Linked DNA regions of Bombyx mori. The protein of the gene in region 1 interacts with the protein of each later gene in a pairwise test. Links are inferred from orthologs where the notes say so. Each region holds a gene or a part of one and is shown on either strand. Other genes may lie near its edges. The genes, in order: protein draper, tyrosine-protein kinase Shark and thioredoxin domain-containing protein 5 homolog.

Region 1 (11,006 bases):
TTAACCTTATACAGTGTTCAGGTTATTTCTTTGTCCGATCCTGTATTTCCCAAATCATAAGCCTTCTCATGGCATTAACATGTACAGAATGACATTGTTGTGTGAGAGTTCGTATGCACTTCAGCGTCAATCCGAGGCTGGCTATCGCTGAGAATGTAGGTTATTTTATATAATATTTTCATACATTTTCAGTTCATAGCGTATATCTTTGCTTAAAACCGCATACATATTTTCCAAGCCTGCAGTAGTTGTAACAGTTTATATGTCAGCTCCCGTTTCTGAACTGGTTCTAGAACCATCAGTGTACCGGTTTAAGCTGTTCTCCTTAGGTGAAGAAAATCCTTTCTGCCATACCATCTTAATTCCCTATTAGTCTTTATTTATCAACAGGTTAGCATGGTATCAAACGTTGTGAACGAAAAGTTACGGTATTGTACACATACCGAATGCGAATATTGCGAAAAAAAAACCACTTTAGTTGTAAATAGCTAGTCAAATCCGCCCCGCTTTGCTGGCCGGTCTTTCATATGACTTTGATTTAATTGCCACCAACATTTTCTATGATTCCGGCTAGGCCAATGTAAAGGTTTCATCGAAGAAAAATTTCATCGAAATCGGTCCAGAGGTTTTGTAGTCTACAGGGAACATACACACATCGACTTTTATATAACTTATATGGATAGAAACATTTTAAAAATCCGATCTCAGACAGATAGGATTTTGTCTTTCTATTCTTCTGTCTCTTGGCAGAGTAGTCGTGGTCATCATTTATATCTTTTGTATTATATTTACTTCAGTTAAATCATTAATACAATGCTGTTTTTCTAGTACTGATATTTTTATTTTACGTTCAAAGTAAAATGCGTTCTCTTGACCTGAGTGCCTGCTAGTAGGTACTCGTAGTTGTTGGCAAATTCATCGCTCCGTCATATCCTTCGATAGTGGGTGGGACTGTGGATAAAGTAGGCCGCATTGAAGCACCTAGTCGTCGAGCTATTGCCGATTCCATTTAGACGGACCACTGAATGTGTGAACTTTTACAACGTATGTAAAATACTGTTTGTATTTTGTGTAATTTGTAGTCGCTAGGAGTAAGATTATTTTAATTTCTAATTTAAACTTCGATAAATACATACATTTAAGCAGATAAATTTTATTCACATTTAATCGTTTATCAAAAAAGTAAATACGCATTGCAATTTTTAACACAACTATTTTATATATGTATACTATAAGTATACTAGATATTTATGGAAACATGAACCTGAAATTCGGAAATGTTTTGCGACGCGTGTAGGCTTTGTAAATATGTGAATATGTCCGCCTACGTACTAAGCTGTATGACTAATTTACTGACGTCACGAAGAATGCGATTATTTTATTTATGTCGCTATTCAATGAAGAATGTCCAGTTACATGTATAATATAAGGGAATAATGTTTAGCTTCAAACTAATATTTCCGCATGTTATCTGGTACACTACTGTTTGGTTAAATCAAAATCTATCTTGAGTAAGATAGATAATACAATTATACAGATAAGCTACAAAATTTAAAATTTATTAAACGTTTTATCTTACACCACACAGTTCGGTTCATAGTGTGATATTATACTGAATATTGCTGTCAATAATACTCTTTTTCTGACCGCATCGAACTGATTTATTTATAATACTATATTATTGAGATATATATACAATTTTATATTCAGTCTGTAAACCGTCTGTACACTAAAGAAAAAACTTCTTGATGGATGTATCAACAAGATTTTTCTTTACTATTCCTATTTTTATTATACATATATACTAAATACACTAAAACTCTAAAATACGCTAAAATATATTAAAACTCTCTGACGTGACGATAAATGTATTAAATACATTAGTCTTTTTTTAAATACTTCCGCGTTATTTTGCGTCCTTGATGATATTAATACAAAAACCTTTACTTATGTAACAAAAATTGTTCCAAGTTTTCAGCTCAATCGGATAAATATAATGGTGCGCAAATGTGCTCCTTTTAAATATACTAGTCTTCGCCTTCTAAGTGAAATTGTATAATAAGCACAAACACCTCAAGAGTCAAATTATTTTTTTTGTTCTATTTTTCTCTATGGTATAACATTGTCAATGTTAATAAAATAAATTTAGACGTAACTGAAGTTCGTCGATACCTACAAAACAAAAAGAGGAATAATATTTTTGACAAACAGAGGAGATAATGGTATCTACTTACCTACCCGTTTTATCTTTACCTATTTAGGAATGGATTAGACTATAGTATTTACACCCCCGATTACCTTCTTCGCCAACCCATACCCTGGGCCAGGAAGGTCAAGTACCTGGGTGTCACCCTGGATGCATCCATGACATTCCACCCCCATATAAAATCCGTCCGCGACCGCACCGCGTTTTTTCTTGGCAGACTCTACCCCATGATCTGTAAGCGGAGTAAAATATCCCCCCGTAACAAGATGACACTTTACAAAACTTGCATAAGGCTCGTTATGACTTACGCGAGTGTGGTGTTCGCTCACGCGGCTCGCACACATTTAGACACCCTCCACCCTACAATCCCGATTTTGCAGGCTAGCCGCCGGAACTCCGTGCTTCACGAGGAACGTTGAACTACACGACGACCTGGGCCTCGAATCAATCCGGAAACTGAAGTCAGCGTCAGAACGGTACTTCGATAAGGTTACGCGTCATGATAATCGCCTTATCGTTGCCACCGCTAACTGCTCCCCGAATCCTGATCCTGCAGGAGCCAGTCACCGACAACGCCCTAGACACGTCCTCACTGATCCATCAGATCCAATAACACTTGCATTAGACGCCTTCAGCTCTAACACTAGGAGCAGGTTGAGGGACCCCGGTAACCGTACTTGTCGAACTCGGCAAAGAGTTCGACGTGCACCTAACCCATGAATCAGCCCGCTGAGTTTCTCGCCAAATTCTCAGCGGGTCGCGATTCCGATCCGGTAGTACATTCAAGTGCCTAGTGTCTTCAAACTTAAAAATAAAATAAACGACTCGCGTCTTTCCCGTAAATTTTTGTCGAATTTTAGTGAGCGCAACAATTAATACATACGGTGGAACAAACAATTTACCTTTACATTTAACTATATGCCATATTCCTTTACCGTTATATTCTCATGCTCTATATATTTATTGCGGACGTTTGAAACGTCGTATTTCAGTGATGTAACGTGGTATGTGGACGAGAAACCCACTAATTGACCATAGTGTCGCTTTTTAATCCAAGCATCCGATCTTCACTGAAACAGCTTGTAAACGGCAAGCGGAGTAATAAATTTCCCCAGTTCACCCTTCGCAATGTCCCGTCCCCCCATCGACCGACATCAGTGTCATAACGTGATATGTTAACGTAATCATAGGTCCTCTCAATTGGTGGATTATATGAAGACCACCTTGAAGGAGCCTCATTAATCCCGGGGTACCATACCAAGAACCGACGTCCTTAATCTCGCCATTCCGTAACTCCATTCAACAACTCAAGTTCCTCTACCTCCTACAATAAGACAATGGTTTCACATAGAAATTAGTAATTTTCAACTTTCGAATTCCAAAAATTAGCAACAACAGGTGGGATTCTACTCTCGTGATGAGAGGCATTGTACTGCTTGTCCAATGCAGAACAAACAATAAGTATGTATCCATATCCTTGCAACCGTGCCAGGGCTCCATCAGTCAATAGACTATTTTCATGTAAATATGCATGTAATGCTATTTTTCAAAGTTACAAATCTAAGTACAGTTTAAGATAGTATAAAGTATTATCTGCAAATTTTTTCTGATATTAAAAGTATTTTAAATTTTTCAACTTCAAATAATGTGGTGCACAGATGTTGAGTATGAAATTTGGCACATTAGTCATAAAAACTTAAAATACTTTTCTTAAGCAACACGTGGGAGATAACGAGTGCCTGTTTTGACAGTTTCATTATTATTCCTAGTATTAGTAATTTTTTACATCACATGATCAGTGATTGTTATGAATCTTGGAAATTCTGCAAGTTAAACACTGCCTTACACATAACTAGAGAACATGGAAGACATACTGTCAAATTAGCAGGTCATTAACTCCAGAAATACATTGAGGGTTTAAATTCATAAGCAATCTGGATTTACTTCTATCACTGTTGCAATACTGGTGCTTTTCTCTCTAACTGATTTATTAATACGTTGAGGCCATGGAAACCATTGTTGGTATGGAGTTCAATACAAATACAATCTTCATATAATGAGAAAATATGTTAGGTACTGTGTTATCAAAGATTTTTAATAAATAAATATAATAAATAAATACTAATAGTTATTACTAACACATTACATTACCAACTTCAGAATAAAATAAAAATGTATTGTCAGGACTAAACTTGACAACAGCTATCAACTAATAGGTAATGAAACAGTAATAATACTTGACCAACCAATGAACACCACAAAATAAAGAAAAAATATACTTTTAAAATATTAGACTACCTTGAAAGTAGGTCAAAGGATAGATATGTGAACTACATTTATATTTTTATATACACTATAAATCTGGGTTCTTTAGATTTTTATTTAATACATAATATCAAAGCCATGTCTAATTCTTGCTCTCAATTTAGTGGAAAGAAAGGTAGCATTAAAAATAAATATTTAATTTATGAAATACCTGATTAATCAATGAAAACGTATAGTTTAGTTACTTTTTGACAACGCATAAGTGGAACGCTGCTCCACAAAATTTGGCCAAACCCAAAACTTGAAAAGTTCAAAACAATAAACTTTAGTAAAATACTTGCGCCAAGTTGTCCAACACTTCGACGAAAATAACACAAACAATAAAATATTAAATTTTAAATATCAAGTTCAAGCACTCGTCGCCGTATGATTTATGTAATTCTCACGTTTAATTGTTGAGCTAATTCATTGTTTAATCTGTATGCATTCTTAATAAGCTTAGCTCTGCACAAAACCACAATTTTTATCAAATATTTCACATCTCACGGTAATAATTAATGATGGTGACGACCTCAAGTGTATAATCTATGGTGCCGTCGGTGCCGAGCACAGATTAGTAACTTGTAACTGTTGATGGCATCAAGTAGGTTTACTGAATTTGACCCCCTTTTTTTGATTTTCAGATTTTTTTAATTTTTAATTATTTGTTCGTCGTTTGTTCATTAATATTCGAATGTAAAAATTGTTCGTCTCTTATTTATTTATAATTAATTAAACAAATGATCACACAAGTTGGCTCTCTTTACTAGATATTTTTATTTTTAGCGCTCAGATTAATTAATTTTGATCAATTATCGTTTGTTCGACGACTATTGGTGATTTTTCGATCATAAAAACAATTTTATTTTATATCTAATAAGCAAACCATCACCTCACGCCTACATTGCGCATGCGCCGCACAGTGGGTCGATTCTATGATTTTAGTGACTTAGGGACCAACTTTGTTTTTTTATAAATTTTTTTATGTAGATAGATAGAGCTCGTTAATCTCAATAATAATTGTTTTGGGCAAAAATTACAAAAACTTTATAGTTTGGTCAGAAAAATGTGTTTTGTGATTTTTTTGTATGGAGCGGGTCACATCAAATTAAATTCCTGCTAAGTACCGCGAGGTCCCGCTTTGAAACTTTATTTTCCTTATACCTTGTCTAGTCTACTATCATTTGATGCTATGAACATGTGCATAAAGTTGCAACTCTGCCAAATAAATGGATCGAAAAAAATTTATAAATACATAGAATAAAAACCTTTATATTTTTTTTCGTAAGTGCTTTTAAGTTAAATTTGATATGGATTAGTAAGTAAAAGCACGTAATGATACCCATAATTACAAAATACCTAACAACAATACATTTAGTAGGTCTCTAATTATGCAATCTCTCTAAATATTATATATTTTGTTTCACCTTTCGATCTTTGGGTCAGAAGACGAAAGAAGATTGTGTAAAATATCCTCATTAGTCGACGTTCTACTTCTCATTCTTGAATAACATCTCTCTGTATATTTCCGAAAATCTTTATTGCGAGCTTCCGCTGCCTCTTCCGAGAGTTTACCTATACGAATGGCACCAAAGTTCTTCATTATTATATATCACTGCCATGTGCCAACAATTTATGGATACTGGAAGGCATATATAATACCAGGGATATACATTAACATACAATTCTGCAGTATATCTAAAAAATTCCGAAAAATTGGAAACGCGCTCTCCAGATGCAACAGAGTGAAGAATCACGTGAAGCCTCTCTATTAAATCTTTACGTATTCCTGTTATGCGGGCTGTTTCTTCTGCATCCCTGAAAAATCTTCTGGCAGTATTGCCATCATTGGTTGTTCCTACTCCTTGCTTGACAACATCTATAAGTAAACCGCATTCCTTTTTAAACGCTTGCTGTATAGCGCTCTTTCTGATTGATATTTTTTCTTTGTCATCCCCCCTTGCAACCCCATTTCTTGAAGTCCAAACGATAAGACGCAAACAAAAAAGTGTCATATAAAAAATAATCTCACAGGAAACTACATACTATGAAAAAAGTAATAAAATTATATTTACCGATATGAAGTAAGCACTCCATGCATCTTATCCAGGCATGTAAAGATGGCATTCCATACTGGAATATTTCTTCATTATTTTCTCTTTGATAAGCAAGTCACTCCAAAAAACTCTGACGGTTTTGCTTTGCAAATATCACAGACAGCAGAAAATGTTTCTGAAAAATATGAGGTTATTTTGCCGTCTATCATCATCATGTGCAATTGATGCTTAACTTCAACTTGTTTGATTTTTGATGGCTGAAGTCTTTCTATTTCTTCTGTTATGCTAGCTTTTATAATTGTCACTGTTGACTGCGTTTCTTTTGTAAATTTAAACATTATTGGACGGCAATAAAAAGTTGATGAGGTCGTTTTCCCAAACAATTGTTCCATCAAATTTCTGAAGCCTTATAGGAACTAGACTGACCATGAAAATAGATGAATCATCAAACTCTGTTTCAGTTTTCTGTTTATAATTACTTTGACCTGGGGCTCTATCAAAGCCTATTTGCTTATAAGCAGTAGCTCTCTTGCAGAGTCCAAATCCGAAGTAATCACATCTAAAAGCCTATATAGCACCAAGTTTAGTAATGCTTGCATTTTAATAGCAGCTCCTTCTTCAGTAATAATTACCTCGTCTTTCCCTGGATAACATTTGGTCTTTTCTTGCTTAATTTTATATTAAGAAGGGTATAAATCAGACCCATTTTCACTTGCTGCTTCTCTTAGGTTTATATACTGCCACTTAATTTAAGTGAAACTAATATTGCCTTATCGGGAGAATATGTACTACTTTTCACTTTACTTGTAATTAAATACTCATTAACTTTTTCTAGATCTTCGGGGTGATTTAACAAGTGGTTCATTATTTCTCCTACATCTTCATTTCTAGTGTTTCTCAAACTAGTAATTGTAGTAGCTTTCATTTCATCCGGGGATAACGAAAGCGATTGGTAAATTTGTTCAATGCGTCTTCGTTTTTGCCTGGATCCCAATTCTTCAAAAGGTTTTCGAGGTGCAAAAATAGATGTCGAGGCTTCTGTAGTACATTTGAGGGTGGTACATTTTCAACATCTTCAGTATTAGAAATCTCGAGCCTTTCATGTGCAGTGTTGATAGCTTCAGGTATCATTCCTTCGGGCCAGTTTATTGCACATTCTAACCAATCACATTTTTTTCTTATAAACTGTGCTAACATGCGACTACTTCGTTTCCATATTGCACTTATATTTGAACAAAATTGCGTACTGAATTTTCGGAGCTCAACATTTTTCTCTTCGGTCACGTTTATTTGATTTTGTAGGAATTGAAAGAGTTTTTTATTATCAGACAGCGACTGTAGTTGCTCTCTTAAAATCATAAATAATCCTAAATTGTTAACAAAATTATCAATTATAACGGAAACAGCAAGATCACAACGACAATCACGAGATGTTAGTAGTAGTACGAATAAACGAACACTAGTTAGTATATAATAAACACGGTCACTTTATACTTCCAGAGACAAACAAATGTTTACTATATTTTCTACTACCCAGTAATGGCTACTTAACTAATTATCCTCATTAAATAATGTTAACTATCTTAATAATTAGAGAGATTGCATAATTAGAGACCTACTAAATGTATTGTTGTTAGGTATTATGTAATTATGGGTATCATTACGTGCTTTTACTTACTAATCCATATCAAATTTAACTTAAAAGCACTTACGAAAAAAAATATAAAGGTTTTTATTCTATGTATTTATAATTTTTTTTCGATCCATTTATTTGGCAGAGTTGCAACTTTATGCACATGTTCATAGCATCAAATGATAGTAGACTAGACAAGGTATAAGGAAAATAAAGTTTCAAAGCGGGACCTCGCGGTACTTAGCAGGAATTTAATTTAATGTGACCCGCTCCATACAAAAAAATCACAAAACACATTTTTCTGACCAAACTATAAAGTTTTTGTAATTTTTGCCCAAAACAATTATTATTGAGATTAACGAGCTCTATCTATCTACATAAAAAAAATTATAAAAAAACAAAGTTGGTCCCTAAGTCACTAAAATCACAGTATCGACCCACTGTGCGCCGGTTTTGTCAGTTAATAAAATATTTCATAATTGGGAATTTAATTGTTTTTATGATTGAACAATCACTAATAGTTGTCGAACAAACGATAATTGATCAAAATTAATTAATCTGAGCGATAAAAATAAAGATATCTAAGATATATAAGTAAAGGAGGGCAACTTAAGGGTTGAGGGAGTTCATATAGAGTCCCTTCTTTATTTCGCCGTAAAGTCGTGTTTTATGTAATAAGTACCACAGTTGAAACAATATAAATTTTATTGTTGTAGCGGCATAAACAATTCTAAGTAATTATATTACATTAGTTATTAAAGACGTTATAAATTATTTTTACGTTTTAAATATTTGGCGGTATTTTTTACCGTCCCGTGTCCCGTGGTCCCGTGTCACAGACTATATTCCTTTCTCCACCTCTCGTGCGTTCCGGCCCACGCATCATAAAAATGTGCGTTCATAAACGCTACAGGGTGATCATTTGTTTAATTAATTATAAATAAATAAAAGACGAAAAAACAATTTTTACATTCAAACATTAACGAATAAACGACGAACAAATAATTAAAAATTAAAAAAAAAAAAACGGAAAAAAAAAAGAGGGGCCAAATTCAGTGAGCCAGATCCACCTCTGTCATCATTCTTGTCATAGCTCATAGATTAAACTCATAATATATTTGTCATAGATTATAGTTGATTATACACATAATGTCATTTAATAACTTAATTCTGTCGTTATTGTGAAACAAAAAAGTTTAATTCTATGTACACAGTTATGACATAATTTTAGAAGAAAATACGGGGTGAAATTATGTACTTCTATAAAATAATGTTGTTGTAATGAAATTGTTTTAGGAAATAATGGATACTTCTTCAATAGTAAGTTTTAATAACGACTCTACATTCCAAGCCACTCTTAAAGGCGACTACAATCACCACAGTGTTCACGAGTTGGCTCTTCATGCCATGAGGGATCGTTGTCTATTACTACAACGCAGAATAAATGTTTTGGAGAATGACAACATGCGCTTAAAACTTGATGCTACAAGAAATAATGAAAATATTGCTTTTCGTGACGATGACAAACTTGACCTACTCCAGAAAATAGCTGAGCTTAATAAACAGAAGTCGCAATTGATGCATCACGTTTTTATGGTGTCATGTGAGAATAGAAACCTATGGAATAAAATATCAACTATCAAGAATTGTAATAAACCTAATAAAGAAAATGTCAAAAACCCATTAGTTCGTACCAATACCTACATCCAAAGCACACCTAAAACAAGTGTAAATTATCAAGAAAAGTATTCTGAATCAAGCTTGGAAGAAATATCTCTGAAATTAATAAATAGCTATATTCAGGAAAAGTCAAATTTAGTTGATCAATATGAACAAATGGCTCAACTTCATAGGGATGAAGATATGTTAAATGTAGATTCTATTGGTTTTACATACTTAGAAGATCCTGCAATGGAATCTTTAAAGGATATTATTTCTCAGACAGAAAAAGTGCAATCTCTGAGAAAAGAGGTAGCTCAGCAAGAAAATGATCTTAAACTAATATTAGCAAGATTTGAGACTATTGTGGCAGGTAAGACAGAAAGGTAGAAAGATATAAAATTTATAGATTCCAGAAACTATTTCTATTGATTCTGTTTGTCTTCTTTGCAGAAGGATATAAGTGTCCAACTTGTATTACAAATAATACCAAAGTTGTGTCTTCAGAAAATAAACAAATTGAAACAAGTGATAGTCTTATGAACTGGGAAACACCAGCTGATTCCAGTTCTTGCAATAATAACTTCAGTGATATCAACACCTCTGTTATAAAAGAAAGTATTATTGAAGAAAAAGAAGAAGATAACGAGCCTTTTGATAAAATATGCCCTATGTGTGGACAAACATTCCAAAAAGATACTGAGTTTTCAGAGTTCAGAGTACATGTAGAAAGTCATTTTACAGGTGAAACAGAACCAGATTCCTTAATAGATAATTTTGAAAATATTCCTAGTTCTTTTGAAAATGCATTATAGTCAGTAATTTTCCAAAAAAAAATGAGTACTTTAAAAAATATTTTTTGGTTAATTTTGTAAGGCTATTGTTTACTAAATACAATTAATTAGTTCAATATTAAAATTTGTGATGAATAGGAACAGTTCTTTTTTTTTAAATAACAAATTTACAAAGATTGACTGGTGCAATGTGATTTCATCATCATCATCATCATGCTTTCCTATTACCCTCTGCTGGGGTGTAGGGCTCGAATCAAATTTTTCCATTTGTATCGGTCTTGGGCAGTCTGTTCTAGCTCCTCCCACGTCATGCCCAAGACCCTTAGCTCCTGCTCCACCGAGCGACGCCAAGT
Region 2 (11,006 bases), on another chromosome or scaffold:
TATCTTATTCTAATAATATAATTATTACAGTAATAATTACTTTTATTAGATATTAACATTAATATTTTAGTTTCAGTTGCCAAAAAGAGAGTTTCGAGATTAGAAAACATAAAAACGTGTTTAATCACAAAATTAGCAGCATTAGTCAAATTATAAAGCATGCATAAATACCGTCATCGATAAATTCTCGAATATTCTAGCTATCCATTTTTCGGCAGTATTACGACAAAACTTAGTTATGAGATTATTAAATAAAGAGAAGCTTGTTAATTTTAAGGATACCAGCTTTTTTTTCCCCTACCTATTCGCTGGTAGCTTAAGAGGCTATTCCAGCTACGTCCTGACGGGTAGGTGAGCTCACGGACTCAACCTGAGAGAATTTGCTAACACTAGCCCTAGTAAAAGCAGTGCTTCACAGAATCGACCACCGGATCGGAATCGCGACCCACTGTAAAGATCCGGCGAGAGACCTAGTGGGCTAGCAGCACTGTTAAATCAAAACAGACAGCCTCGAGAGATCCGCTATTGAATATCACCTGCCGTTGTATAGTACATGCAATTTATAAGATCATCGATGTTTTTTTTTATTGCCTAGATGTGTGGACGAGCTCACAGCCCACCTGGTGTTAAGTGGTTACTGGAACCCATAGACATCTATAACGCAAATGCGCCACACACCTTGAGATATAAGTTCTAAGGTCTCAGTATAGTTACAACGGCTGCCCCACCCTTCAAACCGAAATGCATTACTGCTTCACGACAGGAATAAGCGGGGCGGTGGTACTTACCCGTGCGGACTCACAAGAGGTCCTATCACCAGTAATTACGCAAATTATAATTTTGCGGGTTTGACTTTCGTTACACGGTGTTATTCCTTCACCGTGGAAGTCAATCGTGAACAATTGTTAAGTACGTATTTCATTAGAAAAATTGGTACCCGCCTGCGGGATTCGAACACCTTTATATACCTACGAATGCACCGGACGTCTTATCCTTTAGGCCACGACGATTTCAAACTGAATTAACTGCAAAATATAACTTCTGGTAGATAAGAACTGTTTTGCAAAATAGTATGTTAAAAATTAAAATTTACGCTACGGGTGGGAAGTGAAGGACGGAAGGGTCATCGACCGCTGGTTATCCGATGGTGGTAGAAAGCGGTGAGTGAGTCACCGACGCGACCCCGGTTCCATGCTGCCTTGAAACGTCCTAATGAAAATGAAATTTGGTAGGTACCTTTAAATTGAAACGAATACTCCAAAATATAGTTTAGTATTTTTTTAAAGTAACAAATTGAATATGAACGAATATTAACTGAGTATTTTATGCAATCATTTCAATATGATCTCAACATGGAGTTATTAAGTACAACACTAACTCTATGGATCTCCAATATTAAGCATCGAAAAAGCATTATTTTTATTACGATCAATTAAGACCTCCGCGATTGTTGATACAATAACATAAACAAACTCTAAGTAGTAGTTAAATATAAAAAGGTTCTTAGTATAAAAACGAAATCGTAATATTTAATGCAAAGGTGATGGTGTGTGATAAGGCACCTAAAATTGCTAAACCAAACTAATGTAGTGTAGTATGTAGTGAATGCATACAATAGCGTATTCTAAAGTCAAGATTCTATCCAACTCTGGTGTCAGAGAGACCAACGAAAGTAAATAAACATTGGCTTGCGAGGTAAACAAACTTGAAAACAGGTTTGTAAACATCTAGTACTGAAACTAAGTACTACTAAGCCACGTTACCTAGTTGTATCTACTTTCTACGTTTGCACAAATACCTTTGTAACAGTCAGAACTATTTATTTGAATTATGGAATGAATCATTAAATGGTCTGTGTAATAAGTAATATTAACCAAGGGCTGTAGGGAAACAACAATACGTCCATTAATGTAATTATCAAATATTTTGATCATAACATATCCATTTTTATTCCGAAAAATGACAAAACCACTTATTCAACTGGGAACTTTATTGGCAATGGGTGCGTGATCTTGGATATCTTGACATGTTAATCATCCATCCGTAGTAGTAGCAGAGGAGGAGTACTGGTAATTCCATTATTTTGCTACTTAACTTTTATTCTTGCCTTAAGTACTGGGTATGTTAAGAGCCTCTACAGATGGGTTCCACTGTCTTATGTAATTATTAGTATCTAGCAGTCATGACTCATGGTTCATCACATAGATACCAATCTGTGTGCTAGACTTTCTCACTTGCAACACGAGCAGCAAAAACTACGGTCAGAGGAGAAGTAAGTATTGTAAATAAACACTTTAAATAAAATAAAAAAAACACTGAACGTAGTGTTGAAATGTCCCGTGAACTTGATACATTCAAATAATTTCAGGGAGCTTTTATTGTAATTTAGAGATTAAAGACGATACGAAGTCTCACCGCAAACTCTGATCCTCACCCGAAATACTGAAAACATTGACAATGTTTTAACATGCACCGCGAATTAAAAAAACCGCAATCTTTTTTTTATTTTTAATGCATTTTGATCGGTTCATTATCTTAATTCTTTGATTCCTATACCACCGATCACGATCAGTTTCAGTTTTAGAAAGTAAATTATTTCACTGCAGTCATATTTTCTTAAAATCACCAAAATGTTAGTAAAGTGAATGAAGTTTTATTGTTTCATTATGTGCAACCCATACTAAAAATATTGACGCTTGCTCTTTATTTAAATATGACTGGGTTCTTACTTCTTCAGAACATTCTAGTTCTAAATATAGTGTGGAAGTTGATGGAGTTGGCACGACATTTAATCGGAAAAGATTGTATGTTGCAAGGAAGTCAACGATGAATATGTTATTATCCATACCGAACGTAGGGAAATCGTTTCCGGAAATAAAGAAAGGTCGTAGTGCTGATGATTTATGCCGGGGCCACTTTAAGAGATCGTGATAATAGTTCTACTAGTTAAGGCGTTCGTTGCAAATACTGCACATTGTTGTAAGAACTATGTACCATGTGATATGCCATCCATTGCCTGGGGCCGTCCACCGTCTGTATTCGTTTCATAAAACGAGATTAAAACAATCGAATTTATAGCCAATTTAACGAATTCGAAGAGTACCTCACATATTTTATCTATACTAGTATTCGCTCACGGCTCTGACTAGGTTTAGGCAAAATTGCTTATACCAGGTAGTTGATTGATTGCGTTCTTGGCATTTCTGGTGCCCCTGCGTAGCGGCGACTTCGATAGTCAACTTTCTTGGACAGTATTAAAAGATAATACTCCAATTTTTTTATTGCTTGTGTAGGCAGATGAGCATAATAATATGGCCCACCTGATGGTGAGTGGATACTGTCGCCCATGGACTTCAGCAATGCCAGGGGCAGAGTCAAGCCGCTGCCTACCGAACTAATAAAATAATCAATAGACCATAAGATTCACATAAAAAGGATGTTCAATTATCGTTGCGGCTGTCGTTGTGAAATAATATTTACTTTCTGCGAATGTAAAAGTATGTACTGAGAAAATACTTGAGTTGAATCATTCTGCGCCAGATAGGTATTCAATTGGTGATATTTACTGATCACGTGAGTCATCTGCGCTTTGCGAAGGTATATACTTGTACGTTATACAATGTGCCGATTAGGGCTGCCACAGATGTCCTTATTTATTACGATTTAATTTATTAGTTAATGATAATTATGTTTTTAAGCTGTTTCTTAATTTGCTTAAGTTTAATTTCACAGTTCATAGACTATGTAGCCTAAATATCACTTTCCACCTTGAAACATAAGATTGAGTTCAAAATTTTTTTTGGCGTGCGTAAAGGCCACGTTATGCTGCATTATTACTTTCCAGCAGAAATATATAGGTGTACCGTTCCCACAGTCTTGCAAGTTTAAAAGTGAATTAAAGGAGTAACAATAGAAGATTTTTTGAAAATTCTTCTACCATGAACAGATGACATGGAAGTAATAGCTGTAGCTTGAGAAGGCCACGATCACATTCCCTTAACAGTTAAGTGATTAAACTATTCAATAATAAAGTTAATAGCCCCTATTGTCAAAGTTATTCCTTGACAACTTTTCCTATTATTTTCAATACTAAAACGACAAACTCATTTTATAAATAGGAACCGTTGGCAAGATAATGTTAGTTCCTAGTGTTTACACAGTACTAGTTCTTTGATCTGAGTATGTAAACGTGCACTATATGCATACATACATATGTACAGGCTTGTCTCTTGACTGTATTAGTGAACTATACAACATTCTAGAATTTAATTTTAAAATCATTCAATGAACCCTTAACAAATTCGGTCGCCAAAAAGTTACTGATTTAATTTAAGCTTTCTAAAAATCTAGTATGTATATTTTATACGATTGAAAACTTAAAGATTCCAAATTTATTGATGTAGTTCTTACCGTAAATTTCACAAAAATTCTGATATTCAAAAAGGAAAATCGAAATTTGGTGATTTGTTACTAATAGTAATAACAATGAGAATATAGTTCATTATGTAGATACCTATTTCGTTTTACAAGAGTTGTGGTTACATTAGGTATCGATAAAATTAACATTTTTTTGTAGTACGAATTTATGTAGAATGTCGATTGGGAAACTGGAATTTAGAATTAATAGATAATCGAGTGATGCTTCAATCAAGCTTAATGTGCCTAATTGTGTCTCATTTAAAAACTATTACAGTATTTAGAAAAATGAATTTTCCCAACATTCTACACCTCACAAAAACATGGGTACCTTGTTATAATATGTTCATAAACATCATTCTATCATAATATGTTTTAGGTTCGTTTGCACTTTGAAGACATTGTGTAAAAAAAGATACAAAAGAAAAAGTTTTATAAGTGATTGTAAATTAGTATAACTTTCGTTCGACATTCAAATTTCGATGCAACATTCGATTAGAGTTGTATATGCTATCCATTGCTATCAATTTTCATGCTTTGCTACATCTTAGTTATTGTCTTATAAGACTTTGTTTGCAAATTCAAAACCATTGTCGTTCTTATATACTTATACATGGAGCTTAGAACAAAAAAACGCAGCCAAAAATTTATATGCCATCTTGATTTTCATTAGTTTTCGTTTTCAATGACTTTATAGCCAGGACACATCTTGTTAAATTGCCACAATGCGCTTTGGTCGAATAACTTAATAGTCACTACACAAATTTCGTTACGTGGTTGTTCTGTGACTGCTACGTTGAGTTGTGACCGGTCTCTGAGCTTTAACTGGTGGTAGGATATCGTTGTGAGCCCGCACAGGTATAACCATCCCGCCCATTTCTGCTGAGAAGCCGCGGCGCTGTCGGTTTGAGGGTTGGGGCAGCTGTTGTATTGAAAAATGAGACTTAGAACTCATATCTCAAGATATGAGTTCTAAGTTCTGGGTGGCGACATTTACGCTATCGATGTCCATGGGCCAGTAACCACTTAGGTAACAGAAGGTGGACGTGAGCTTGTCTACTCGGGATATTATGGGCCCACATGGGTAAGTATTTGTCGTGAAGAATTTTCATGTCCCAATTTTAAGGAAAGGACGGCAGTTAAACTTTCAATTCGAGACTTACGACTCACATCTGAAGGTGAGCGCCAGCATTTACATGTCTATAGAATCCGCTAATCACTTAAAGCCAGGTGGGCCGTGAGCTCGTCGATCTATCCACAACAAAAAATATCATAAAGTGTAAACCATAACATACTAAAAAAAACTTGTTTATTTTTGACTTGTCTGCTGCGTACTTACTACATGTAATTTTATTTTAAATGTTTGAAATATCTGAATAAGAATTGAGATTGTGTGTGAGGGAATGCGTACTACACATAAAGCGTTTGCGTTGTGGAACTGTGTGTGTACGTTGGTGTTGGTGATTCATTTCTCGGAATTGACCTTGCTATGAGTCATTCGCTGGAAGGCAGAGTCGGGGATACCGCGCCTGTCTGCTTGCTGCCGGCTGCATGGCACACGCACTCCGTTTGCTGTTCCTAGTTTAATACCGAGTTTTGTGTATCTTAATTAAAAAGTAAATTAAGTTGTAAAAATGTGCTATTATAGAAAACGTAGAAAATATCGTTAATCATAATTTTTATTAATACTTGGAAATATAATATTTGTGTTTTGGAATTTGGATATCATGATAACAACCATGACGTCATTCATATTACTTAAGGTAAGAAAATTATTACATTAATTGATCTATATTAATAATTAGTTATTTTTGCAAAACTAGTATTTATGTAGATGATGAATCATCCTAAATTTCTTATCAGTTTCTTATTTGACGATTCAGTTGTGACGTTTGACTTATAACCACATTTATTTAAAATTGAAACATGTTGGTGTTTGTCTCTCTTTAACGCAGACTTTGTAACGAAGTCGGAGGGAGATAAATAATACAGATGAGAGAAGACTTTAAACTTTCAATTTGATAGTATTATGGTAGGTAATAAACAACAAGAAAGAATGAAATAGAATGAAACATGGCGCGTCAGTATCAGTAATTACATCAAAGTTTTGACTTCTGGCAAAGTTTTGAAACTTCCCACGGAACATTTTGGATTTGATTTGATATGTTACAACAGATTAAAACTTTATTAATTGAGGATTAAGAAAAACAAATAAGAAAATTAGTAGTTTTAGGTCATCTGATGTGTGGAATGTGGTGCATACCTGTTGAACAAGTTTCCAATTAACTTTTCAGACAAACTCTTTTTTGTTGAGGATGAATAGAGAAGACAACGTTAACTGGTTTCATGGGAAAATATCACGTGAATCCGCTGAGAAACTGTTAAAAGAGGGTTAGTAAATAGTTCTTTTGTCATTGTTTTGAACAAAATAAAACTTTAAATATAACAAAGTTTTGTAATTTCAGAAGGAGAAGATGGTGTATTTTTAGTACGGGAGAGTAATACTTCGCCTGGAGATTATGTTTTGTCTGTTTTGCATCAGGTACACTAAATTTCTAATAAATTTGATAACCTAAAAAAATATTTTAAATAAAGTTTATTTGAGAATTTAAAACTGCTAGACAATTCTGAAATAGAAGATTTAATTTTCAGGGTCAAGTAGTGCATTATCAAATACGCAGACACGGTGAAGATGCATTCTTCTCTATAGAAGAGCACACAACTGTTCATGGATTGGATACTCTTATACAACATTACCGTAGTGATTCAAATGGACTTGTTACTAGGTTGTCCATTGTCTGTAAAGGAGAACCACCACCGCATGAGTCGAGGACACAGGGAACAACAAATTTACTGCACAGGTGTGTTTCAAACTCAATTTTTTTTTCTAAAGCCAAACACATTTTTTGACAGAGAAATTGAAATAAATTTAGTAAAATAACAATTAACTTACAACTGGATTTGTATATGAATTAAGACAACAAAGCACTAAGGCATTCAGACATCACCACTGTATCTCTAGTCAGTGATTATGCTAATTAAAGTTCTGAAATGGTTATAATTAAGTAATTAAGCTTCTGGCAGGCAAATCAGGCTTAGTAATGCTCATATCTTACAACAATGGAATGTGCATGTTTGAAATAACGAACGTGAAAACTCTGGCACAATTTTTTTTTATAATTTCTCTGATCTGTTTTACTAGTAATCTAAAAGGCACCAACTTATTCCAAGTTTCTTATGTCTTTGATTTAAAGAACTAATTTTCTAGATTTGTACAACAAATGCTTGTAAGGTGAATTATACAAATACAAGATAATTTAATTACAGCAAAGCTTAGAAAACTAAAATGAACTAAATTCTTAATTTATTTCATTCATTTCGATATGTTTTCATTGCTATCTAATCATATGCTAAGATGAATCCTTGATCACCAATTACGAGAAATTAAAAAATAAAGCAAATTTTCCTAAAATACAAGTAAAATAACAACATCAAAAAACTTTAATCAAATTTATTATTTTGGCTATAAGTTTCAACTTTACTTGAATAAGATTTAAATGTATTTACTATACAATTTTAAACAAATGCTATATCATTTTAGTATTGTGGATACTCAGTCAAACACACAGTTAATAAACTTGTTCAATCCCTTAATTAGTGATATCGTGACTAGTTCAAGAAGGATGTTCTATTAAGAAGAGGGTCCCGTAAATTGTCCTTAATTCCCTCTTGTGTTTTATTGTCTCAATGGATAGATAGATATCGTTTGAGTTTTTCAATTATGTTATGTACTGTTATTATGTTAAACTTTTATTGAAATAAAGCTTGAAAGTGTTTTACTAGGATAAATTATATTATTCAGGAAATATCTTATGATATTACGGATCATGGCTAGACTAAATTGATATTATTTCATTATTGTAAAAGTATGATATTATTTCTTCCTCACAAGAGGTTTGATCAGAGTACTCGGCAGTAGGCAGCAACTTGCCTGTACCTCTGGGATTGTTCATTTTTAAGTGCAATGGTGATTATACTTATTATCAGGCCCATATGCAAGCCAATTTACAACAGCAACAAAAAAATACCCTTTTTACTACTCTGTATCATATTATCTCAAATCACAAAAATCTGTGCAGTATTAAAAATGTTGCACGTTCCGAAATTAATAAAATCAACGATCAATTAGTACTTTAAAGTGTTAAAATTATGAGATTAGAAAATCTAAGGACTCCCCTAACACTTTATGTAAGCTAATATAATAATATATATTTATGTATATAACATAATGGGAATTAAATATAACTTTAAATTTCACTAAAGTTCAGTCTTATAATTTCCATTAACAAATGCTTAAAAAATTATAAAGTTCTCTTAAATTTGGAGAAAAAAAACTTGGATGTGACCTCTGTTGGATGCAGCTCAATAAGGTTATTGAACTTATTTCTTATTGTTTTCCCCTGTACTGTGCAGTCAGTGATATTATTTATTGGTTGCAGTCAAGTTTATTGATGATTTCCTGTTGAACCCGGCACTCAACTTGTTTATTCAATAATATCAGAATAATGAATCTGATTACAAATATGGCCAGTGCAATTTTGTTTCAGACGTAGAAGTAAATTTAATAAACCGAACATATATAAATGAAATAATTATAAACAAAAATATACATTACGATAAATAAATATAAATAAATATTTTAATAACAATCACGCCACGTTAACTGGTCCCGTGCTAAGTTCGTAAAGAACTTGTGTTACAGGTACCAGATAACGGAAATAAATGTAAGATTTTTATTATACACATACATATATTTAATATTTAATATACGTCCATAACCCTGGTAAAGACATTTATATTTATCATACAAATATCTTCCCTTGGCGGGATTCGAACCAGCGACCCCCTTGTGTAGTGACCATGTCACTTACCACTACACCAGACGGCCGTTGATATGATTGATTTATCATATTTCAATCGAGATTCAAATATTTATCGCTCAGCTAAAAATTAAACGATAATATTATACCAAAACTATTTAATTAATTGCATTTGAGCGTTTGTGTGCATTTCGAAATTTCTCTAAATATAAAAAAAAACAATCTTAAAATCTTTACAATACAGAGCTTTACTATCCCGAGTATTATAAATGTTATCGAACGAAAAAAATTCAAAACCGTAAGTCATCAAAATACAATCAGAGACGAAAGTTCAGAATTAATTTGTCAATATGATTAATATGCTCACATAGATTAAAACAATGCATTATTATATATCCAAACGGTCAGACAATTATAAATGGTAACAAAGCAATATTATTTCAACAGATCTCGTGTTTGTTTGTTAATGCGCATAAAAATTCTTGTCCCGCATTATGATGTGGTGACTTTGCAATCTGAACTGATTAGAATACCAAATGCGGTCCGATGTGTGTTAATTAAATATACGCATGTGTCAGCAAGCGTTATGTGGCATTCAACTGTTGTTGCGCTTTTTATATATAGATCTTTTTATTTGGTATACGTGTGTGTTAGGATCATTTTATTCAAATTACCTAATTAGAAACATAGTAAAATATTAATAGCAAACTCTGTTGAAGTATGTTTAAAATATATTTATTTAGAATCAATCCTCGTGCCCATTATTTATGTAAATATTAAAAGTAGGAAATAATAACAGACTAAGACTTATGATTATTTTATAACTTAAATTCTAATTTTATAACTATCCTAAAATTTGTTGACTTCCGCCCTGGCACAAAGAGGCGGGGCGTGATGTACGCAAAATGGCGAACGACACACTGATTGAGCGAGGACAGAAGCAAGACGTACTTTACAAAAGCGTATCGATTAAGGCAATTAGTGTACTTTAAAACCTATTTAAAGTTGTGGAAATAAAGGAAGTGTAATCAAACAGCATTTGGATTGTTTTTTTTGGTGAAAGCCAAAATGTGTCTGAGCTCACAAGATGTTAAGTGATTACCAGAATCTATAGACACGGTGTGAACCGCCCTAACCGCTTTGAAACAGTCGAAGTCTATATTAGAATACATACATACATGAAAACAATGTTCGATACGTAACTATGTACTTTGAAACTTTGTTCTTGTGCTAGTGTCGAACCATGTTACAACCATGAAATTTTATCTTATTTTTTGTTTATTACAATTCAACTTCTGTATACTTAGAATGCGGTTTATATGAATATGGAGGATTTTTCTTGTTTTGTCAACTACCTACTTCCTAGTAAAGTAAATAACATAATGATAAGAGAAATTAATAAATTTAGATCTTTTCACTTAGTAATAAATATAAGACACGAAAGCGTTAATATCGGAGGGCTTTCAGAGCTTATGTTTATTGAGATAGACTTTAAAGAGATAAAAAATATTATTCAATTTATAAAAAAAAAAACTTATGTATAGATCCCAATTAAAAACCTCCTTCTCATTTATAAAACCTACGCAAAGTACAAAAACTTGTTCATTGAAAATCGAAAACAAAATTGTTTCATTTTTTTGGTCGGACACTATTAAAGGTAGTGTTGCCACTCAATTTTTACATCACCTTTACATTATGTTTCATACAATA
Region 3 (11,006 bases), on another chromosome or scaffold:
TGCGACTGGGTTGGGCTTTGACGATTTTGGATAGAGACCGAGTAGGGAGGAGGTGGCGGCGCACCCGACATCGGATACGGCGGTGGAAGTTCGCCGCCGCCACCCGTTTGATAGATACTGAGAGCTTGTATCTGCTGCGTAAGCTGCTGTTGCACTTGAGGTCCATTTTGTACAATCATGGGTTGTCTGGCAGGCGGCGTGGGTGCCGCGGCCGCCACGGGACTGGTGCCCCGCGCCGGTGGTAGAGGTGGCGCCGGCGACATGCGCTTGAGCAGTTGCTGCACGGAAGGCAGCACCGGCGGCGTGGACGGACATCGCGGCGGCGGAGGTGGCGGTGGTTCTGAGAAACCTGAAGGCGAATACTGTCGCGATAGCTTCTCGTGTGGTAGCGGCGGTGGCTCCGATTGACGCGGACTATCAGACCGGGAGCTACCAGCACCTGAATCAAGTGCAGGACTACCACGATGTAGATTTATCTCTCTCTCTAGACTAGGTTTCCGGATAAGTTTGGTGCCAAGAGCACTCAAGTTACTGCTTTTGAGGACGCCGTTGAGAGGTTCTTGCTGTTTCGACAAATAATCGAGAGCTGCATCAAAACGCCCTCCTGCATATTTGAGTGCCCTCACAGCTGGGTCCTGAAATGATTTTTTCTAAATAATATACTCATTATTCAAAAACAGAAGCAAAACAAGATAATGAAATTTTACCAAATTGATTATAATCTAAGTACACCGTGAATATCTCTTCTGACGGTGAGTGGTTACTAGAGCCAATAGACATCACAGCGTATATGCGCCGTCATCCATCTCGAGACAAGAGGTCTAATTTTTCAATTGTATAGTATATTAACTGTCCTGCCCTTCTAATTAGAGCATATTACTGCTTGACAGTAAAATTCGGTAGGGTGGTGTGCCCCACCCTGCAGCGGCAGGTACAAACCATCCATCTAATAATAAAAAATTCGGGCAGGGGGCTTAGGGGGCGCGTAGAGTATGTGGGTGTTGATGGTCCGTAGACATTGGGAGAGAACCGCAGGTCCAAGAACGTTTAGGGCCCTACCTACCAAAAGACTCTCCTTGCACTCTCTCCCCCAACGCCCGATCTTCGTCTGGGTCCAGTGCCCGAGCAGAGTAAGGGCAGAGTAACATTATAAATTAACAACCAACATTCGATCAATGGATAGTTGACGACCAACAAACCTAGTCTCTGTGTGGTAATATAATAATAATGGCATGGCAAAACTAGTATACCGAACTTCTTATGTAGATCTTGCTTGGAGTTTTTATTGTAATTTTGTTGTAGATTGTAATATAATTATTATCTTGCTGACTTATAAACTTTACATAGACAAACTATGTGAATATAATTCCTATTTTACCTCATTCTAATACTATTATATATGTTGAAAAAAGGATTTATTTGAGTACACAGTAATGTAATTTTTCGCCTGGGAAATTTATGAGAACAATTGTGAAAACTAAAAATTAAATTGATATTGGAGATCTTGAAAACTTCCTGCTATCAGTCACCGATGATACTAATAGCTAGAAGATACATATAATCCAAGACGGTAGAAAAAAAAGCATGTGTAGAATAATTTTAAAAAAATCTTTTTTTATCATTAATATTAGATTTTATTATTTTAGGCTTTATAACTAAGCCTATAGATCACAATAGGGGTTTTAAAAAATCTGAACACGAAGCTGAATTCAAAAATGCATTAAAATATTTGACAGCCTGCCCTTTAAACCAGAATACATGGTTAAAGTGTTAGGTATAGACAGAATATTGGTATATGACCATATTTATTCTCAAGACAATATGCATTTACAACATGCACAATACAATAATGAAAATAAAAATTAAAATCTTGTGTTTTTGTATTGTGAATAAATTACTTCTCAATTTAATTCTGGTCAACATTATATCCAAGAACACAACCTTAAGCATTCATTTTATAACTGTTATGACTATAAATTTGATTCAATTTAAATTATGTTTAACATGATTGTTGAAAATGAAAACAAACTACCACTGGTTTCATGATTGCCTATTCCTCATTCCACTGCAACCAGGCAATATGCAAGTAATTAGCTTGTACTTATAGTGTTTATGTTTAATTAAAATTTCTCAGTTATTGCAAATAACAATAACTTAAGTTTTACTCAAACCTGGTTAAAGATTGTCCTTAGCCTTGGTATTAATGAAAATGGACATTAATCACCAATAAATACTGATAATATCGGCCATACACTGCCTTCTACATTAAAAGTTGATAGTCTTTCTTATTATATTTTAATTGTATTATAAATTCCATGTATTTTTATATGTATATTTCTTCTGTGCGTGTGTTTGTCACTGAACTCCTCCTAAACGGCTGGACCGATATTAATGAAATTTTCTGTGTATCTTCAGGTGGATTTGAGAATGGTTTAGATTTATAAAGCAACCCGGCACTGCAGTCGGTATCTTTCCTAGAAATATTTTTATGGCAAAACAATGCCAGCCAGTTTTTTTATAAAAATTAAAGATAATGGAATAATGACACTAAAAAAACACTAATCATATCTGTTATTTAGAAACACTTTTAGCAATTCATTATAACTAAACTCACCTCATCATAACCCAAGGCAATAAGTTGGTTCAAGGATTGAGGTAGCACATTCAAGTCTTTATCGAGTCCATTTCCCGAAGAAGAACTAAACCCCGAACTCACTCCTGAACTAACTGTGCTAGCAGCTGATGAACCTGGCGGTTCAGAGTTTCCAATGTTCGCAAAGGGAAGCAATGAGTTTCTGATTTCGGCAAGCGCCTTCTGGTGGTATCCGGAGCGCGTAGCCGTTTTGCCGGGCGCCGGCGGGTTCATGGCGCCCGCGCCCGCGCCCGTGCGCCTCACCTCTCACCCCACGCCTCCCATCACATGAGCACACCCCACACCCTGTACATATCCTTGTTTATTATCCTCCGCACCATTTATTCAACACTCTAATTAAGACTCGCAGCACTGTCACTGTCTTTATTATCGAATTTATTTCGTTTATATATCGATTTCCTCACTAGTCAGTCTGTATCAACATTGCTTTTTGTGTAGCAGCGTGAAAGGTACTTTCTTTTAACTGAAAAATATTTTTAAATATTAGTACCTAATCAATTGAGAATTCCTCTTGCTTTAGATCCCTTAAATTTTATGTGATAATAAAATAATGAGTTAAATAAGTTAGATGAGAAAAGTTTGACATCTTGGCAACAGGATAGGGATATGATTTGTCGACTTTATACAGAACCTGTTTACAGTATCAGACAATTCGAGTACACAATTTTTAACAGTATCGCATTCTATCCAAGAGTACGAGGATGTAAGGAATGTCTAATGCGAATCAATCATGACATAGACTTGTGGAATTCCAAAATTAGAGGGAGCTCGGAAAGCAATGTTTCGTTCATTCAAGGCACTAAGAAGAATAATTAATTACTGTAATTCATTACCAGGCACTTTTTCACTTTCTGTAAATCCGTATTATATGCACAAATGTCATAATCCCATAAAATGAAATTCAGTTCGATCGACAGCTCTCACATTGCCGATGACATCTTTCTTGCACACTTAGTTTTGATTAGTCGCATTAATTTTTATACGGAAGAGGCAATCTGGAGTCGATAGAGTTGTGCTTTAAAGCGAGAGTTTCTAAGGAAATATGAAAACAAAGGACTCTAAAACACAGACATGCAAGTTGGCAAACCATACAAAGCGACCATTTTGAAGAATTACCACATTCTTTAGTGTGTTCGGATACACAGAAGATTAAATTCCATTTTGTTTGACGACTCTTTTTCGTAAAAAAGAACCCAGCTAAAGCACTCATCTGCTTACTAATGTAGGAATTTCTCTATTAAAAGTAATAATCAGACCTTTAAAAAAACACTTCTACAGAATTGTCGAAATGAAACTGTATCCGAATAATAAGAAAGTCACAGGCATGGAGTAAGTACCTAGTCACAGGACTCACAGCAAAAATCCTAACTGCAAAAATTCTAAAGAAAAAAAAAAGAGTATAACGGTCTAATTCTAAGACTGTTAAATTAAGAAATTTCTATCTGCTATTGCCTAATTCATTTTCTTCATAACAAGGTGACACTCTACAAAACATGCATACGTTCCATTGTGAAATAGGCTTGGAGTTAATAAGGAAATAGGTAAGTGTAGTGTTCGCTCACGCGTCCCGTTCACACATGAACTCTCTCCAGGTTATCCAATCCCATTTCTGCAAAATAGCCTTCGGAGCACCGTGGTACGTAAGAACTAATTAGTTTCTATCAGTAAAAACCTTATGGAAGCGTCGGAACGCTATTTTGATAAAGCGGCGTGCCATTACCTTTCCGCTTCTCATTACATATCCGACCCAGGCAACAGGGCAACCTAAAGCCGCCGTAGCCATTAACATATTCTTTCCGATCTTTCAGGTCCACTTTCAAAGATTCTTCTGTCGTTCGCTGTGCACGTTACTCTCTGCTGTGCTCGACGTATGAAATAGCTCATAGACACCACCCACTGAGATCTCGCCGGATCTTCACGGAGGGCTGTGATTCCGATCCTGTGTTAAATTCAACCAAGTACATCTCTACCTGAGGCCAGTGCTAGGAATTTTTTTAGGTTGTTGCTGTTGTCAAGTTGTGACTTTTTTATTTTTTTATTTACTGTTTCATCAGGTTTAGTATGTTATGACGGTGGTTTATTAACATTTTAGTATCTCTGAAAGTACACAAGGGTGGTTAAACGAAACAAAATAGTTGGATATTGCTTTTTGAATTCTTCCAAAGTCCATTGATCTTATCTTGTCATCCTTAACCTCCGAACTACCTATTATAATAGGCGGCGTGCGGCAAAATACAAACACCACAAAGCAACCAACGGTGGTATCCTTGGCGTCGTATCTCGCGAAAGTGTTGCAGGTCCCCGGTTAGGTGGTGAACAAATATGGCCAACGGTTCGCCCTTATTGGTGTTTGACGGCGATATATGCCGCGGCTTTCTTGTTGCGGTTCAAAGTCAACAGTTCAAAGAAGATCGTCGCAAATATTAACTCGTGCAGCGAGCATGAGAGGAAAGTATAAATAATACACATAATATCAGGAGAGCACAGATGAATATATTAGTTGGAGGAGAGTACAAAAGTTATGTGTATTATCTATGAGTACAACATTAAACGGACAATAAGTACGGCCTGTGTTCCAGCTGCGCCAGAACAATCCCGCACCGTGCCGGCTCCCTTAAGATTTTGTTTAATTCCAACCATTTTACTAATTATTTCATTGGTATGGTATTGTTTTATCTCAGTTCAGTTAATCCACATATCCTTCTTCAAACGAGGCTTGTGCAGAGTACTTAACGGCGAGAATACTTAACGGTAGGCAGCAGCTTGGCTCTGCCCCTGGCATTGCTGAAGTCCATGGGCGACGGTAATCACTCACTATCAGGTAGACCGTATGCTCGTCTGCCTATAAGGACAATAAAAAAGATATCTAATTTAATTTTTGATTCAATTTTTTATCAATCTATATCAGTTGACTTTCCACACAACAGACATAGATTCACCTTTGTTATAGAATATTACTGTGTATGTTATATGTGCTACGTTCCCTGTGCTGCCAATAGACAAACCAAACGAAAAAGTTTGAAGTGCTGTGCAGCAAAGCAAAATTTATCCAACAAATACGAAATTATTTGTTGTTTTAGATTTAACCTATTAGCTACTTAACTAATGAGAAGGAGAAAAGATATAAATGAAAACAACCTAAAAAAGTTACCTCAATTCACAGAGGCATTGTTTAGAAATATATTCCTTCACCACAATGAAGATATTACCATATCTATTTGTATTTCCGTATCTTGTAGCTCCTGAACAGAGTTCTGTTTACGAATACAATCCCAGTAATTTCAAATTCCAGATCGAAGAAATGGATGGAAACTTTATTATGTTTTACGCGCCATGGTGAGAACAATAATTGAATTTACATTATTCCTTTCAGTGATTAAATTCAAAACAATCTACATATTCATTTATTTATGATAAAAATTATACTAAATATTGAATCGAAACGATTTTATAAATAAACTTAATCTAATTTTCTTTAGTTGACCGAAATGTAAATGGTATACCGTAGTGACATCGATGAGGCCTATTGTGTGTGAACCTCTAATAGAAATTGAAAATACGAAGATCACAGCCAAGCTTCCGTTCAAAACAAAAGATTTGAATGCCCTCAATAAAAACGAACTGATGTGGGTAGTGGTGAAAAAGATCCTTCATACTTATTGACTAAACTACAAAGTTAGATGAGCATTTTTACAAAAAGGCTGACGACTGATTCAATGAGGGTAATTCACGATATAAAATTAAAAAAGTTGTTAACCATCCACAACTAAAGATGTGTTCCAAGAGAGTTTCAATAAAATACTGTTTGAAATTACCATAATATCTATATTTTTTACCATTACGGTACTATACCATTTACAGAAATTATATGTTTTAAGGTGTAGACATTGCACAGAATTTTATCCGATATGGTCAGAATTGGCAGAGCTGGTTAATACCAAGGACTCCAAATTTGCCATTGCCCAAGTTGACTGCACAGTGCATGCTAAGCTTTGTCATGAAAATGAAATAACAGGTACTTAAGTAAGCATACACATAATTTCCTTGTTTTTAAGTATGTACATAATAGAATTTTTTTTTAAAATAGGTACACTAGTTGATGGTGTAAATAAATTTGAAAAAAATTACAGGTTATCCAACATTATTTTATTTCCACAAAAATACATTTACACCAGTTGAATACAAAGGAACAAGGGACTTACCATCATTGACATTGTTTCTGAGCGAAGCCTTCTCTGTCAAAACAGAGGTGAGTAGTAGAACCATTTTGTCACTGTTGCTCAGAATTAAAAAAAATCATTCTTCATAATTCATTGCAAAAGTAGGTCAATGGGATTAAATTCTAGCCTACAAACATCACAAGATTAATGCCATTAGCCATAATCAGATATGAGGTTAAATACCAATGAGATTTATACTTAATTTAGACCATTTTGATGAATGGATATAAATGGAAGTTCTGTGTCAAAATTTATTAATAATATCACTTTATTATAATTTTTTCTGACTGACCTATCTTCATAGACTACAACATAAGAATGTGACTGAATATAAAATATAATATATATAAACCTGTATCCAATTTATTATTTCAGGGCAAACAATCAAAACAACCAAATGAAGTTAAAACATACAGCGGCATGTCCTATCTGAATGACCTGAATATTGAGAAGTTTGTGTCAAAAGGACAGCATTTCATCATGTTTTTTGTACCTTGGTGTCGTGCATCTCAGGTAATCCCAAACCTATAAAAAAATGATGTGGTACATTTTTCTATTGTAGAAATGAATGTTTCTACCATCAATGATGGGGATGATAAATTTTGACTTTGGTATGCAATGTCTGGCAAAAACTGTAGCACCAACTTACAAAAAAAATGTAGTGTATATCTATAAAGCAAAGCTTTGATATAAAGTTTTCAAGATTGGTTGCTATCATATAGACTAACTGGCTGGATACTATTTCAGTGACATGAGCCAATAAGGGTACAGTAGAGTTCTGAGAGAGATGCATGTACGTTTTAGCAAACCCCAGTACCAGCAGTGCTGGAGCCTCTGAATGGTGTTGAAGCTTTGCTAAGATGGCAGAAAGTAGAGGCCAATCAGTTATAGTAACTAAACTCTTGCATTGGATAAGATGGGCTGTAGAGGAAATACTCTTTTTTTCGCTTTGCCACTTCATTCTGCATTATCATGGTGTAACAGCAGAATAGCATTTGGGACCAAATTTTGTGTCAAATTAGGCCATTCTAGGAGAGCAAAAGATTTCATCTCTGGATTGAGGTCAATACACTACAAAACTGCTTTATTAGGGTTGGTGCACTATTTTTCTATTTCACAGCTCACATAAATCACTCGATCAGTTTTCAACTTTTTCATGCAGTCAATTACAACCATGATGCTCACTTATCAGTCAGTGACCATACCATCAGCACCAAGATGATGACCTTGATGGATCCCAGATCACAGCAAATAGAACAGCCAGTTTCCATTGTTATTTCTAGAATAAGGTTCATAAATATGTTTGCCAGAATGCAGAAGTACGACAATGATGTAACACACCACATTTATATTGAATTTTCAGAGGATGGCACCGATTTGGGCAGACTTAGCAGTACATTACGCTCACAACAACTACATAAAAATTGGAAAAGTTAATTGTATGGATAATGAGATAACATGCGAAAATTTTGAAGTCAAACAGTACCCCTATTTACTCTGGATTGTTAATGGAAAAATTGTGAGTATATAACAAGTTTCTAATGATTAAATTTATCTGAATAGATAATTTTTATTTATTTTCACTTCATAGTGGCACATGTTTTATTTCTGAGGATGAGGCAACCGTGTTGAGAGATGTGACTGTGCCAGTGCTCAAATGCCACAAGCAAGTACTAATTTTTCTAATGATGTAGTTCTTACCACATTTGATTAACTACCATAATGAAATATTAACATTGTGTACTAAAAATTATAATTTGCGCAATTACTGGTGGCAGGTGTGTCTCCTGAGCATGCACAGGTAGGTTTTACGATTCAGCTAATTTCTGCCGCGAACTCTTAATGCGTTACGATTTGAAGGGTGAGAAGCCTAGACAAGCTTTGTGGGCAAGGCTTGACTCTGCGCCTGTCATTGCTGAAGTCCAAGGGCGACGGTAACCACTCACAATCAGGTGGGCCGTACGTACATCTGCCTGTAAGGACAATAAAAAAAATACTATAACTGAATACACTTGATACTTAGACCTCATGTCTCAAGATGACCATTCGCATTGTGATGGCTTTAGATCCGGTGATTATTGAACGCCAGGCGAGCCGTGAGCTCAAGTCACCCAATAAAATTGCAAAAAAACACTTTGTAAATGCTATTTATTAAATTTTAGTCCTTTTTGTGTACTATCAAGAGAACAAATTAAAACACTGGAATATAAACTAAAGAACACTCTGTACTTTAATGGATTTTAATAAAGTCTAATAGATCCTCAAAGATAATATAGCCTATATCATATAAAGAAATAAGTTTACTTCTACTATTACTTTCTTCTACAGATGGGTGCTTCGAATGGGGAAAACTTAGACGATTTGAAAGCATTTGTTGAAAAAATGTTGCTTTCTGAAAATCACGATCCAGAGAAATTTCTAAGAAAAAAGAAAGCACTTCCTGTGGCCAGGATATCTGAGGAGACATTCGAAACTTTTCTGCAAAATGACTTAGTTTTTATTAATTATTTTGCGCCATGGTTAGTTAGTGCTTTAAAAATGAAATTATTGTTTTTAAATGATTCCTGGATTTTTATGTTTTCCATATTATTAATATCCTATATCAATTTAGAATAATTTGGAATTTTGCTAATGATGTTGTTTACCATTCAAATTTAAAAATATAACATAACAATTAAGTTAATGGGAGCTTATACAAAGTATAACAGTGTGTGAAAATATTTCTATCTGTGACTTTCCACAGTGCTTAGACTAATTTGTCGTACACACCATAAGTAAGTGGCGGTAGGTGATCACAGTGTTGCTGTAATAGTCTTAGTTAAATCCCTCTCTAAGAATCTGTTAGTCGCTTTTTGCCCACTCGAAAGTGAAACTATTCTAGGCCACACAGCCAGTGTCAGACACAGCTCACTGAGTTTCTCGCCGGATCTTCTCAGTGGGTCGCGTTTTTCCGATCCGGTGGTAGATTCTGTAAAGCACTGCTCTTGCTAGGGTCAGTCTTAGTACCTCTCCGGTTTGAGCCCCGCGAGCTCACCTACAAACGTTAGGGCGAAGCTGAAATAGCCTTGAAAGGCTATCAGCATAAGTAGGAAAAAAGAAAGTAGGTGGGACTGAACAATAAATGCTTCCGGGTGAGAAGTGTGTAACTTAAACTAATTCTATGACTCAGTGATACTGCCAGGATTATAGGCAATTCAGGGCAAACAGTTTGAAGATCAGAACAGTTTGGAATTAGAGGTTTATGAACATGATGAGTATCGTAAACTCATCATGTTCATAAACCTCTAATTCCATATACACTGCAGTATTCTACAAATAGGCATTTTTTCATTTTATTGCATTTACTGTTTTATTTATTTTTGTAATAGTTGTTATATTATTACCTCCTGTGTCAAATTAGTATATAAATCCTAAGTCCATAGTCCAGAATTTGATGAGAGTTTGTACACTTCCTTGGTTTGCTTACAGGTGCGCACATTGTATGCAGTTAAGCCCATTATGGATTAAATTAGGGGAAAAGTTCCAAAACGAGACAAGAGTATTGATAGCAGATGTTGACTGTGTGCAGAGTAAACCTATTTGTGAAACAGAAAAGGTATAACACATTAAATTCATTATAAATAGGATTCTGAATTTCCGCTTGAAACTTCTCATCTCAAAACCTGGCCTAACTATTAAATGTGTAGTACTGCGTATGATTATAAAATCAATTATAACGACGCTTGAAAGGCAAACATGACTAAGCGACAATGCGTGAACTTTTCAGTAGAGTAATTTAAAATTTAAATACCTGAAAAAATTATATTTTAACGAATCTAGCTGTAGGATTGATATGATTTTAATAGACCTAGAAATATAATTTTTTTGCGCATCGAATATGGTTATTGCCTATCATTTATGTACAAAGCAGTTATTATCGCTTAGTCACGTTTGCCTTTCAAACGTCAATAATATATATATTTTTCAGATTAATGGACTACCCACATTAATATTGTACAGACATAAGAAAATAGTAAGTGTAGAACATGGTGGTAGACCTCTTGATAGTCTGATTGGACTCATCACAGAGCATTTACAAGATTCAGCCAGTACAGATCCAGAAGACAAGACAAATGAGGACATATTTTTGTCAA

What was found.
Region 2: the proteins of protein draper (region 1) and tyrosine-protein kinase Shark interact in binary tests that used the Drosophila melanogaster proteins (3 or more experiments, as listed by UniProt). The link is inferred for Bombyx mori from reciprocal best matches to the Drosophila melanogaster genes drpr and Shark.
Region 3: the proteins of protein draper (region 1) and thioredoxin domain-containing protein 5 homolog interact in binary tests that used the Drosophila melanogaster proteins (3 or more experiments, as listed by UniProt). The link is inferred for Bombyx mori from reciprocal best matches to the Drosophila melanogaster genes drpr and prtp.

Annotation. Positions count from the first base shown.
Region 1 is NC_085115.1:6,513,241-6,524,246, reverse strand, and holds the start of protein draper, read right to left. Parts: upstream 5,068-11,006; 5' UTR 4,813-5,067; exon of another isoform or gene 4,683-4,812; intron 3,277-4,682; exon of another isoform or gene 3,109-3,276; intron 1-3,108. Other genes in the region: protein spindle-F, read left to right, coding at 9,503-10,232, 10,313-10,674. UniProt on the Drosophila melanogaster protein: Receptor which is involved in the phagocytosis of a variety of cells including apoptotic cells, severed and pruned axons, degenerating dendrites, salivary gland cells, germline cells and bacteria.
Region 2 is NC_085111.1:13,529,055-13,540,060, reverse strand, and holds the start of tyrosine-protein kinase Shark, read left to right. Parts: upstream 1-5,655; 5' UTR 5,656-6,143; coding exon 6,144-6,179; intron 6,180-6,710; coding exon 6,711-6,807; intron 6,808-6,881; coding exon 6,882-6,958; intron 6,959-7,068; coding exon 7,069-7,277; intron 7,278-11,006. UniProt on the Drosophila melanogaster protein: Following axon injury, required for recruitment of drpr and glial cells to severed axons and for glial clearance of severed axons from the central nervous system.
Region 3 is NC_085112.1:13,705,312-13,716,317, reverse strand, and holds the start of thioredoxin domain-containing protein 5 homolog, read left to right. Parts: upstream 1-5,358; 5' UTR 5,359-5,474; intron 5,475-5,561; 5' UTR 5,562-5,849; coding exon 5,850-5,989; intron 5,990-6,531; coding exon 6,532-6,668; intron 6,669-6,783; coding exon 6,784-6,902; intron 6,903-7,248; coding exon 7,249-7,386; intron 7,387-8,236; coding exon 8,237-8,392; intron 8,393-9,201; coding exon 9,202-9,392; intron 9,393-10,096; exon of another isoform or gene 10,097-10,169; intron 10,170-10,341; coding exon 10,342-10,468; intron 10,469-10,840; coding exon 10,841-11,006. Other genes in the region: serine/threonine-protein kinase Warts, read right to left, coding at 1-635, 2,615-2,866. UniProt on the Drosophila melanogaster protein: Possesses thioredoxin activity. Acts as a ligand for Drpr and is required for the phagocytosis of apoptotic cells. Binds to the extracellular region of Drpr and augments Drpr tyrosine phosphorylation.